2 linked regions of the Caenorhabditis elegans genome follow. The protein of the gene in region 2 interacts with the protein of the main gene of each other region in a biochemical or structural test. Each region holds a gene or a part of one and is shown on either strand. Other genes may lie near its edges. The genes, in order: prmt-1 and F41H10.3.

What was found.
Region 1: of the proteins of F41H10.3 (region 2) and prmt-1, one has a biochemical effect on the other in vitro, tested with the Caenorhabditis elegans proteins (one study listed by BioGRID).

What each region holds. Positions count from the first base shown.
Region 1 is NC_003283.11:20,266,877-20,271,679, forward strand, and holds prmt-1 (Protein arginine N-methyltransferase 1), read right to left. Parts: upstream 2,836-4,803; 5' UTR 2,829-2,835; coding exon 2,559-2,828; intron 2,505-2,558; coding exon 1,884-2,504; intron 881-1,883; coding exon 725-880; 3' UTR 501-724; downstream 1-500. Other genes in the region: mdt-17 (Mediator of RNA polymerase II transcription subunit 17), read right to left, coding at 75-353; cdkr-3 (CDK5RAP3 protein homolog), read left to right, coding at 3,241-3,286, 3,338-3,469. UniProt on the Caenorhabditis elegans protein: Arginine methyltransferase that methylates (mono and asymmetric dimethylation) the guanidino nitrogens of arginyl residues present in target proteins.
Region 2 is NC_003282.8:5,368,030-5,375,459, reverse strand, and holds F41H10.3 (RNA-directed RNA polymerase), read right to left. Parts: upstream 5,655-7,430; coding exon 5,469-5,654; intron 5,410-5,468; coding exon 5,356-5,409; intron 5,310-5,355; coding exon 5,229-5,309; intron 5,180-5,228; coding exon 5,030-5,179; intron 4,977-5,029; coding exon 4,674-4,976; intron 4,625-4,673; coding exon 4,486-4,624; intron 4,064-4,485; coding exon 3,498-4,063; intron 3,437-3,497; coding exon 2,893-3,436; intron 2,787-2,892; coding exon 2,298-2,786; intron 2,248-2,297; coding exon 1,969-2,247; intron 1,794-1,968; coding exon 1,313-1,793; intron 1,214-1,312; coding exon 1,051-1,213; 3' UTR 775-1,050; downstream 1-774. Other genes in the region: elo-5 (Long chain fatty acid elongase 5), read left to right, coding at 296-622, 672-762; sand-1 (Vacuolar fusion protein MON1 homolog), read right to left, coding at 6,738-7,011, 7,063-7,430.

The sequences.
Region 1 (4,803 bases), on a different chromosome or scaffold from region 2:
AGCCTGAAAATCGATGATTTTCTGACTTTTTCCCGAAAATTATTCGATTTTTCTTGATTTTCGCCGGCTTCTACCTCATCATCGAGTTCATCTTCGGGATCAACCTTCGAATTTTCATAAGGCGATTTTGTGCCCACTAGCTTCGTCCATTCCACCTTCCGAGCCAATTTTCCAACATGATCAGTGAACGTCTCGGGCTGCAGGTACCTCTCCACACCGTCAAATCCGATTTCCTGGATTTTCCAGTCATCATTGGATTCCAGCACGAGATCCACTCCTAGTCGTTTTGTGAGATTCACAATGTCTTCGGATTCCGGCTCGATAGGCTCCACCACTTCATCGCCGTCTTCCATTTTTTTTGTGCTAAACTTTTTTAAAAATAATTTTTCGGTTTTTCTTTTGGCGCTGCTCACTATTGATTGAATATTAAAAATATATCTAAAGGCTGCGTAACCTATAAATTATAAAATCGCTTAAAAATTGCAAAAAACTTGAATTTTGGCAGATTTTTTTTTATGGAAAAAGGTCAACAAATGGAGTACCGAGCAGAGTGAGCGTGCGCGCGGATAGAGGAGGTGCGCGACAACAACCCGCATCGAGGTATATACAATCGAGTATCTGCGGAAATCGGGAGGTTTCGGGGGGAACAACGGGGGATCAACAAAGTGTAAAAATTGGGGGCAAAAAAGTGTGAGAAAAAAGACGAAAAAAAAAACAGCAAAAATTAGTGCATGGTGTAGGTGTTCTGCTCGTTGAGATCACACACTTCTCCCTTGAAATCGAACGAAATGTTGATATCCAAGTCACGTTCGTTGTTCTTGTTTGGTGCCATCTCGAATGATCCGGTTATTTCCTCGCCTTTCTTTACTGTGAGCGCGTCCTGAAAAAATCGAAAAATTGAAAAAAAAAATAAAATTTGAATCGAAAGTGTCGAATTTGAAGTCAAAGATGATGTGAAAATTGCAATTTTTTTTCTTTTTTATTAAAACAAAACTGGGTTTTTCTAGCTAACGAAAATTAGTGAAAAATACAACTTTTTGCCTAAAAACCCCGGTTTCAGTCAGAAAATCCGGTTTTTACTCGAAAAATCGATAGAAAAGTGCAAAATTCGTGCAAAAATCTTTAAAAAAACACAAATTTAATACTTAAGACTACTACAAACTACTAGTTTTGGGCGCTGCTAAACTACAAAATTACAAGATTTGGGCGCTGCTAAACTACAAACTACAAGCTTTTGGGCGCTGCTAATTCGCTTTTGGGAGCTGCTAAACTACAAACTACTAGTTTTGGGCGCTGCTAAGCTACAAACTACGATTTTGGGCGCTGCTAGACTACAAACTACAAGATTTGGGCGCTGCTAATTTAATTTTGGGCGCTGCTAAGCTACAAACTACGATTGTGGGCGCTGCTAGACTACAAACTACGAGTTTTGGGCGCTTCTAAGCTACAAACTACAAGATTTGGGCGCTGCTAAACTACAAACTACGAGTTTTGCGCGCTGCTAAGCTACAAACTACGAGCTTTGGGCGCTGCTAAGCTACAAACTACAAGATTTGGGCGCTGCTAAGCTACAAACTACGATTGTGGGCGCTGCTAGACTACAAACTACGAGTTTTGGGCGCTGCTAAGCTACAAACTACAAGATTTGGGCGCTGCTAAACTACAAACTACGAGTTTTGGGCGCCGCTAAGCTACAAACTACGAGTTTTGGGGGCTGCTAATTCATGTTTTCTTAATTTTTTGGCGAATTTTGTTTCAAAAACTGTGAAAAGGTCGATTTTCAGCCCAAAAATCGAAGTTTTTACCATTTACTGACTAAATTTGGTGAAAAACTGTTGAAAAATGGTATTTAACCCGAAAAAAAGTTATTTTTAAGCGCATACTTTAAGATAAAAGACGGTCTGCTTCCAATGAGTGTACTGTACATCTGGCCCAGTCGAGAATCCGGTTTTCTTGTGGCACTTGGAGAACTCGACGGTGAAGAAGGTGACGAAAGCTTGAATATAGTCGCTGCGAGTGCATCTCAGCTTAAAGTCCGATTTGAACGTGAGATCCTCGATTTTAACGGTGTACAAATCAACGTCCTTCAGCAGACAATTGTTGGTGTTGACCTGAGCGTTGTCGACGATATCGACGAGTGGCTCCTTGATCGCGACGTTCTTGATAGCGGACATGTTGAATCCGTAGACTGAATCCCACCAGTGGATCTTGTCCTCCTTGTACTGACGATCCTCGATAGCACAGACGTAGAGACGAGCCTTGTCCGGGAACAACATTCCATTCGGAGCCAACCATCTATCGCGGGCGACGAGCACAGTGTTGAGCATCGACTCGTAGAACAAGCAGTATCCCATCCACTCGGAAATGATGATATCGACCTTCTCAATGCCTCCTGGCAACTCGTGAACGTCCTCTACCTTCGCCTGAATCACCTCGACGATGTGGTCCAGGTTGTTGTCGGCGATTATTTTGCGGGAGGTGAGCGCCATGTTGGAGAATTCCATCTGAAGGAAAAGGAAATTTTTAAAAACCGTTCAAAAAATCCAAAAAAAACTCACCGCGAAAACCTTCTTCGCTCCAGCCTTGGCGGCGAACATGGAAAGAATTCCAGTTCCCGAGCCAACATCCATCACAACTTTGTCTTTGAACAAGTGCGAGTTATGATAGATCGAGTTCCGGTAGGTGGTGGTTCGCACCTCGTCCTTGAGCATCTCCTCGTGGATACCGAAGTGAGCGTACGAGTCGAAGTAGTAGTCCTTGCTGGTCAACTCTTTTGCAGCCGGTGCCGCCACCGGCGCATCTGCGGACTTCCCGTTTTCGGTACTCATTGTCCCGCTGGAAAAAGGTTAATTATTAAATTAATTAATGTGAGATCCACATGCTCTGAAATCCACTTTTAGGGCCAAAATTCATGTATTTTCTTGTTCGAAAAGCTTTTTAATCAAAAAATAATTAATTTTCAGCAAAAAAAACCAAAAAATCAATTGAAAATCAACTGAAAATCATGAAATTCGAGTGAAAAAGACGAAAAAAAAAGGAAAACTCATTTCAAATCAACACCTAAAAATGCGGGCGTTGCGAGACCCAACACACACGAAACCGCATGCGCCTTTAAATTTGTGTCGATTTACGCAGTGGCTGACGTGTATTTTTCCATCGAAATTTTCTTCTTTTTTTGGGAGATTTCTGAATTTAAAATTGAATTTTAAGTTAAAATTTTAATTTTTCAGATAAAAAATCATGTCAGACGACTTGCCAATCGATATTCACAGCAGTAAATTGCTTGGTAACTCGTTATCCATTAATTTTAACCCAAAAAACACCGCAAAAACTTTAGATTGGCTGGTTTCCCGTCGTCATTGCAACAAAGATTGGCAAAAAAGCGTGGTGGCGATTCGAGAAAAGATCAAACATGCCATTTTGGACATGCCGGAGTCGCCGAAAATCGTGGAGCTGCTGCAAGGAGCGTGTTAGTTGGTTTTTTGCCCAAAAAAGACCAAAAAATTGTTAAAAAACTACAAAAAGGCTCGACTACCAAGTTTTTTTTGCAAAAAATCTGATTAAAAAAAATAGTTTTTCACCAAAAACAGTCAGAAAAACGAATAAAATCTCTCTTGTCCGCAGGAGGCTTAGGCTCACCCTTGAACCAAACGGACAACCTTTACCTTTACTTTTTAAATTTACGGAAAAATGCAAAAAATTCAATAACAGTCCCATTAACAGCTCGAAATCCGGATTAGCAGCGCCCAAATCTTGTAGTTTGTAGTTTTAGCAGCGCCCAAAATTGAATTAGCAGCGCCCAAATCTTGTAGTTTGTAGTTTTAGCAGCGCCCAAAATTGAATTAGCAGCGCCCAAAACTTGTAGTTTGTAGTCTTAGCAGCGCCCAAAATTGAATTAGCAGCGCCCAAATCTTGTAGTTTGTAGTTTTAGCAGCGCCCAAAATTGAATTAGCAGCGCCCAAAACTTGTAGTTTGTAATGTTAGCAGCGCCAAACCATTTTTTTGAGAAAAATCCAATTAAATTACAGTTTTTAGTCGTTTTTCGCCAAATTTAGCGAGAAAAATCATTAAAATAGAAAAAATAATAAATTTTTCTGTCAAAAAAGCCGTAATTATTCAATTTTTAATCTAAAAATTGCCAAAAATTCAGTTTTTCACCCAAAAAAGTCAGAAAAACATATAAAATTGTGATTTTTGCGGTGAAAACCGACTATAATTTAGTTTTCGTGCCGAAATTTACGAAAAAAATGCAGAAATTTCGATAAAATTCCCATTAACAGCTCGAAATCTGGATTAGCAGCGCCCAAAACTTGTAGTTTATAGTGTTAGCAGCGCCCAAAATTGAATTAGCAGCGCCAAACTTTTTTTCTGCAAAAACCTGATAAAATAACATTTTTTTGAATTATTTTTCGCCAAATTTAGTTAGGAAAATGCATTACAATGCTATTTTTGCCGTAAAAATCTTCAAAAAATCGATTTTTATTCAATTTTTAATTTAAAAATTGCCAAAAATTCAGTTTTGCACCAAAAACAGTCAGAAAAACATATAAAATTGTGATTTTTGCGGCGAAAACCGACTATAATTTAGTTTTCGTGCCGAAATTTACGAAAAAAATGCAGAAATTTCGATAAAATTCCCATTAACAGCTCGAAATCCGGATTAGCAGCGCCCAAAACTTGTAGTTTGTAGTGTTAGCAGCGCCCAAAATTGAATTAGCAGCGCCCAAAACTTGTAGTTTGTAGTGTTAGCAGCGCCCCAAATTGAATTAGCAGCGCCAAACTTTTTTTCTGCAAAAACCTGAT
Region 2 (7,430 bases):
CTAGATTTTCGAAAAGCTCATTAGGCATCACTAGTAAAAGAGCCTCGTAAATGAACACGTATGGTATTTAGTCATTTAAAGAATTACTGGTACTACTGTAGTTTTCGCTACGAGATATTTTGCGCGTCAGATATGTTGATCAGTACGCATTTTTAGACTTTTGTGTTCCCGCAATACACAAACTCGGAATTTCTTCTCAGAGTTCAAATGAATGAGCTAAGAACTTGAAGTTCCTATTAATTTTCGCTGAAATTCAAAAAGGTATTGTCCCATCTATAATTCCAATTAATTCCAGGTACCATCACGCATTGACCGGTTACTATGCTCTTGTCTGCTACCATGAGGATGCTGTCCATATGGTTTGGGTTGTATGGATGAATTATATTATTCATGCATTCATGTATGGATACTATCTTCTGAAATCTCTGAAAGTTCCAATTCCACCATCAGTTGCTCAAGCAATCACCACATCTCAAATGGTTCAATTCGCAGTTGCCATTTTCGCACAAGTTCATGTTTCCTATAAACACTATGTTGAGGGAGTTGAAGGATTAGCCTACTCGTTCAGAGGAACAGCTATCGGATTTTTCATGCTTACTACCTACTTCTATCTATGGATTCAGTAAGTTTGAGCATTAAAAAACTGAAAGAAATTATAAAGTGAATTTCAGATTCTACAAAGAGCACTATCTTAAGAATGGAGGCAAAAAGTACAATTTGGCAAAGGATCAGGCAAAAACTCAAACAAAGAAGGCTAACTAACTAAGACGGGACTTTAATTTAAATGCACATTTATTTAAATATGCTGATAACATATGAATGATAATAATAAAAGAAAACAACACAATAAAATGGAAGCCGTAATAGTGAAATACCAAGAAAGAGTCGAAATAAACTGAAGATCATAAGTATGAGAGAATAGTGGAAGAACACGGGATGGAAGAGGAAACAAATATACACCGGAGTTATAACAGTGATACAAAAATTAGTTTTTAAAGGGAGTGGGGAATAAATAATTAACAATAAATCAATAATGAAAGAAAAATCCCATCATTTGTAGATGTTCATTAGGAAGCTTTTCACTGTTGGCCCTTCATCACCATCCTCTTGAAATCTTTGACTTTCAGTTCGAATCGCGTCGCCGATTTCTTCAGGTGTCAGTGTTGTTCCAGGAGTTTTTCGAATGTGTGATGTGTACGTCCGTAAAGGAGGACTGAAAATATTTGGTTTGAAAAAGGTAAGGATGCCAATTTTTTGAAAATTATTTCGAACCAGTCTGCATATTTTTTCATTAAAAAATTCAAAAACTCACTTTGACTGATTTGAATCGCCTGTAGTTGTTTCTGTAGTCGTTGAACCAGCCGATATTGTATCCACCAATGCTGGAGTTGCTGATGTTGATTGTGCAGATGCTTGAGCAGGAGCCGGAGCCGGAGGAGGAGGAGTTGGCATCAAAGTTGTCATCGGAGCCTGTGACGATAGTAACGGGCTCGAAGACATCTTTTCAGCCGTCTCCTCCATCGTTGCCATCGCCGCTGCCACCAACGCCCTGCTATTTGCGATCCATGGCACATACTGCCGAGATTTTAAATTCCCTACTTCTCTTCTCTTTATTGCATTTGGAACAGGAGCAGGAGCCGGGGAAGCAACACTATTTTGACTGAAGCTTCTCGGCCGAAAGTCTGATTGTGTTGAGTTGTTGGGGACTCGCTGAACATATGGTATTGTTGAATTTGAATGAGCCAAAACACCAGAAGATTTCGGAAGAGGATCCCAACGACGTGGTTTGAATGCTGAAATGGACGGATTTAATGAGCACCACGACACAACACTCAGAAATTGAGAAATTATGGAAATTTTTTTTAAAGGTGAGAGAGAGAGAGAGATAGAGATAGAGAAGCAAACAAATTTGGATAACCTACAAGTTTTTCCTTGAGCTCAATTTTCTTTTAAATCCATAATACTCACCCATTTGAATATTAAACGGCATAACGCGTCGACACGTTTCCGTATTTAAGAGCATTTGCTTCTGATGAGCTATTGCTCGGCTAGCAGGTGATGGTATTGTTGCAGCAGGTACAAAAGTAGATGATGTGGCAACTGGAGGAACAAAACCATACGGGACGAGGGGACTTCGTGTAGGATGACTCTCACTATAGAAGGCTGCACGCATTAAAGATTGTGCTCCTGTCGGAGGTGTTTCAATTCCATTTTGAGTTGGTTTCGGACGCATTCCAGCTGGATAATCTGAAAAATAATTTCAAGCAGGTTCGCATATTTGTTTAACAAAAACTAACATGGAGCTTTTTGCTGTAATGAAAATGTATATGCATTTCTGACAACTACAGATGCTGCATTTTTCGATGGACTTGCAGTTGCAGTATTTCCATTTAAAATCATTGGAGACGGAACTACAGAAGGTGTCAACTTCTTGACAGGATACACAGTTTTGTTCGCAATTGGTGGTATTTGAGGTTTAATGGAATACAGTACTCGTGCTGTTGTCTTTGCAATCGTCTTCACTTTTGGAGTATTTACACTTCCGTTTGGCAAAGGTACAGGATGAACTGGAACAATTGGAACAATTGGAACAACAGGAGCCACTGGAGCAGCAGGAACAGGCGGTGCAGGATCGGATGAAGCTTCGGCGTCTGATGATGGAGTCGTTTGATCAGTTTTCTGACCGGATTTCCGTCTTCGTGGAGGCTTCGGCGTTGGTAGTGGAGGTGGTGGTTGTTGTGGTTGAGGTGGATGATCTCGAGCAGCAGGAATATCTGAAAGTTCGGCTGGGAAATTATTTTAGAAAATACCTTTGGAAAATATTATTAAATTTTTTTCTGAGGAAAATTTAAAAAAATTGGGACCGAGTAACGGATTTTCGTCAAAACTTACAATGTTCGATAATATCTCGCGCATATTGTTCAGGTGCATATTCTTTTCCTCGATCCTGTGGAACCCAAACATTCTGTCTTCCTTCTGAATCTTCCATTTTCTCCGAATCCTTCTCATCTACATGTTCTTCTTCCATCGAATTACCAACATGATCATCCCAACTGTCAGCTATAATTGACATTTTCTTGGTTGGTGGTGGAGCTGGGACAGATTCCGACTTCAATTCTTGCTCAATTTCCGGTAAATGACGTTTTGTAGCCGAAGTTGGCGTCTTTTTGAGTTGTGAAGCAGTCTGTTGTGGGGATGGTGGTGTATTTACAACTGGTGGCACTTGATTAATCATTGTTTTCTCCAAATTCTCTTTTTGAACAAGCAGGGCGCGTTGTTTTGGAGTTGATGAAGAAATAAATCGAGTTGGAGCAAATAGAGGTGGCTCAAGAACTTTTCGAGGTGTTCGTACTTTTGCAGCAACTCCGAGTAGAGCTTCATCCTTCGGTTTCCTCTTTCTCCTTCTTCCGTCCTCTTCGATAAGAAGCTTGTAAGCCTGAAAATTTATATTTTAATTCATTGTCATGTATATAATTTCTCGTCGAAAAAAAACCTACCGAACTGTGCATATGCTTGTCCACAACTCGATTATTCTCCATTTGAATTGCTGATAAATACTGATTCCGTCCTTTCGTAGTGCTCATATCATATCTATTCGATTCCAACAAATGCGATGGATACCTCGAAAATAAGTTCTCTCCAGCATTCAACAATTCTTGTGGATGTCTTCTAATCATTGACATTAGTCTTAATCCATACAAGCTGTACTTATCAAAAGCCCATTTCAATGTTGACGGCCAAAGTTCCCATTTTACGAATAATGGAAACATAATATGATTGTAGATATCCACCAAATATCGCCGTGGGACCCATTTTCCATTTGATTCTCTCCATCCACGATCCTCTTCCCTCCATACTTGGAAAAATCCATGAATATGTCGTCCCATCATATGAAATTCTGAACATTCGTCTGTAGTTAGGCCATCTTCAACGAATCCCGGCTTGATTGTACGTCCAGATGGAGGTCGGATAACTGCGAAAGCAGTTGTGCATTCATGAAGAGCAGTTTGATAATTCTCGTAGAGATACCATGCACTATCCAGACATTCTTTGGAGAAATATCCTGAAATCAAAATTTTCAGGTCTTTTGGGAGATTTTTCAAATATTTGGCATAAATTCAGATATTTTTTGAAATAAATCGCAACGCATCTTAATTTCAATTGTTTCTCACGAAATTTCTTCGGATTTAAGTAATATAGCCATTCTAAATATTATTTTTCAAGATTTTGATAGGTAAGCTTGATAAAATCAACAAAAATTGAAAATTTATTATAAAAAATGAGATGAACAATATGCAAAAAAACTATGCGGCGGGTTGCGGAAGCGCGCGCCGCGGAGTTGCCTTTCCGCGGCACGCGTTTTCGCAATGTTGCCGCACGGTTTTATTTTACCTGTTTTTTCATCAATTTTCAGCTCGTTTTTATTGAAAAATTAATTTAAATTGACTTTTCTCTTAAAAAAAAAACGGAAAAAGTGGTACTCACCATCATCTTCAATTTTGGGGAAATCAAAGTTAATCAATTGCATCACAGAATCTAATCTAAAACTGATATGTGTGGATGGTAAATCTTCATTGTCTCCGTAATATTCCACATCGCTCAATCGTCGATCTTTGGAGCGAATCTAAAATTTATCATTATTATTTTAAAAATAAATTCAATGTTAAACAAACCGCAACATTATTCTTAGACATCATTTTGATAGTTCTCTCAAATGGCCCATTGAATTTTGCATCATTACACCCAACATGATTCCACAGGTGCATTGATCGTAAATGTTCATCTTCCAACGGATTAAATTGTCGCATCGAAAAATCATTTCTACAAGGAGGCGGAGGAATTGGTACTTTTTCTCTGTCTTTCAATCTGCCAATTTGTATTGGAACAGAAGGTAGCTCATCATCTTGGAATAGTGGTGGGTATATTGGATCTTTTTGTTCAGATGATTCTTGTTTCAGATTCTTAAGCCTCTGCTTCTGAAAATTATGAATTTATTGTATTCTGAAGGAATATTTTGCATTTTCTTTACCTCCAAAATGTTCATTGACAGCGTATCCACTAGTGTTGATTTATCGATGGACGCCCTCCAGTTATCATTTGAATAAATGATGCAACTTGCAATTAATCGAAATAATTCGTTAGCATCTTCCATATTTGACTTCAAAACTGGCTGTTTTCTCTGAAACATTTCAATATTCGTCTGATTTTTTTTAAAACTCAAAACTCACATAAAATGCAAAGAATCGAAGTGCTTGACAAAGATCATCGAAGGTGAAACCGGATAGATTTGTGAGATCATTGAGATAGTTCTGAACAAAAATTTATGGTTCTTTTGTGGAATTTCTTAAAACTTACTTTGTACGGATTCAGCAATACTGTAAAATTAAGTCCTCGTAGTGCACGTACTTCCTGCAAGCTTCGACATGATTGATTTTCGTTCCTTCAGTTTTTTTTTCTGATCAACTTACCGTTTGAAACGTGTTTTTCAATGATTTGCTGCGTTGTTTCGAGGAGCAAACTTCCCAGAGTGTTGGTGGTGCGTTTGGCGGAAAAAATCGCTTGAATTTTTGCAAGTTTTCTTGAAAACGACGCTGTGGAGCTGTGGATGTCGATGGCACATGGGGATCGACGCGTGAAAACACGCGGTACGACATTTTTGAGCTGAAAATAGTGATATGAGGATTGAAATGACTTGAAGAAAAGATAAAAGCAAAGAAAACTAGAAATTAAGATTATTAATACAAAAAATTTGGCCTAAAAACGATGGGAAATTCGAAAAAATACAAAAAATGATGGGGTCAGGAAGTGCGCTCCATTGGACTAATAGCAGAAAAAATCGATTTTCAGGCGTTTTCAGATAGAAATCCATGCTAATTTGTTTTTTTTCGTGCCCAGAAATCTTTTGTTATGTGTGAAAGGGTGCTTTTAAATTGTTCTAATACCCATCAAAAACATAATATAAAGAGTTATTCGTATAGTGAAAGTGCAAGCGGCGTTTCAGGATTTTTATAGGAATAAGTTTAGCTAATTACAAAAAAAAATTGTTTTTACAATTAAAAAATTGCGACAAATTGAGGAGAAAAAGCTCGAGCTTAAATTTAAAAAAAAACTTTAAACTATTTTAAAGTTGAACCAAATTTTAAAAAAATGGGCAGGCGTTGAAAAATGGAAGTTTTCAAAATACTATGCGTTTCTCTTCATTGAAAACAAATTTCGTTTGAAAATCAAAAAGTTTTCATGCAAAACTAAAATGTCACAGGTTTCTGGTTGCCATAGCCATCAGCTAGAAATTCAAAGAGCGCGTGTTGGTGGACGAGGAAAAAGCGATGGTGAAGGAGAAGGCGGGTAGAATAAACCGACGAAGTGGGGGACACGGCCGAAATGACGGCGAAAGAGTGTGTGAGAAGCGGAGAGTGCAGAGATATAGAGACGAGCGAGACTCCTTCAAACACACTCCGCTTCCCCCAACATCAATTCGAAATGTGTACGTTTTAATCGATACTTTTCCCTATTCTTTCCAATAACTTTGTTTAATAAGTACATTAGATCATAGGACGTCATTTAAGACGTATTACACTTGCTGTAAACAGTAATGAATGAGAGGTTCGCTTTATTAATTTCTACTTGATCTTTTTTGGCAATTTGAAGGGCAGTAAAAATATATTGGCAAATTAAAATCTGTGGTTAGAAAACACGTAAACGTTTTAAGTATCACAATTTTTACAAACAGTTGAAAATTAAAAGGATGTTGAATTAATGATAAAATATCGTTGTTCGTGAGATTTCAGCGATTTCAGAAGCTTTTCGACGACTTGGAATGCGATTGTTGCGGTGACAAATGGTCCGAATATGCAGTAAAGTGAAAAGAGATCAGTGACCCAAACAAAAAGACAATGTTTGGTGCCACGTACGAAAAGAGTTCGAAGATGTGGATGGAGAGATGATAATGATGAAGATCGACGCATTTCTGAACGAGCAATCCATCGTTCGTCACGTGTTATTAGGGGAATTCTGAAATAATAGAGCGCATATAATTAATGGAACATTTAGAGGCTAACTCACTTTGAGGCTGACATACAGACTTGCTTTGAAGAATGATTTAAATACAAAAACGACCAAAGCGATTCGGAATTCGATCCGATTTGTGATATTTGATAAAGATTCGGCGTCTTCATCGCCTGTGCAAAGTTAACAAAGAACTTTTGATTATTTTCCAACTTCGTCACAATTTGTTGTCGAACTTCCTTGAGCCCATCGAAATGATCTCGTTTCACCGAAAGAAGCACAATGCACACAGGAATATCTTGCTCTTTATTGCACCATGGATACGATATGTAGGCGTAGAAAAATCCTGTGTCATTGAACCGTGGCAGACAGATTGGAACCCAATTCTGGGAGTCTGTTTGTAGAGTATTATCAGAGACAAGGTT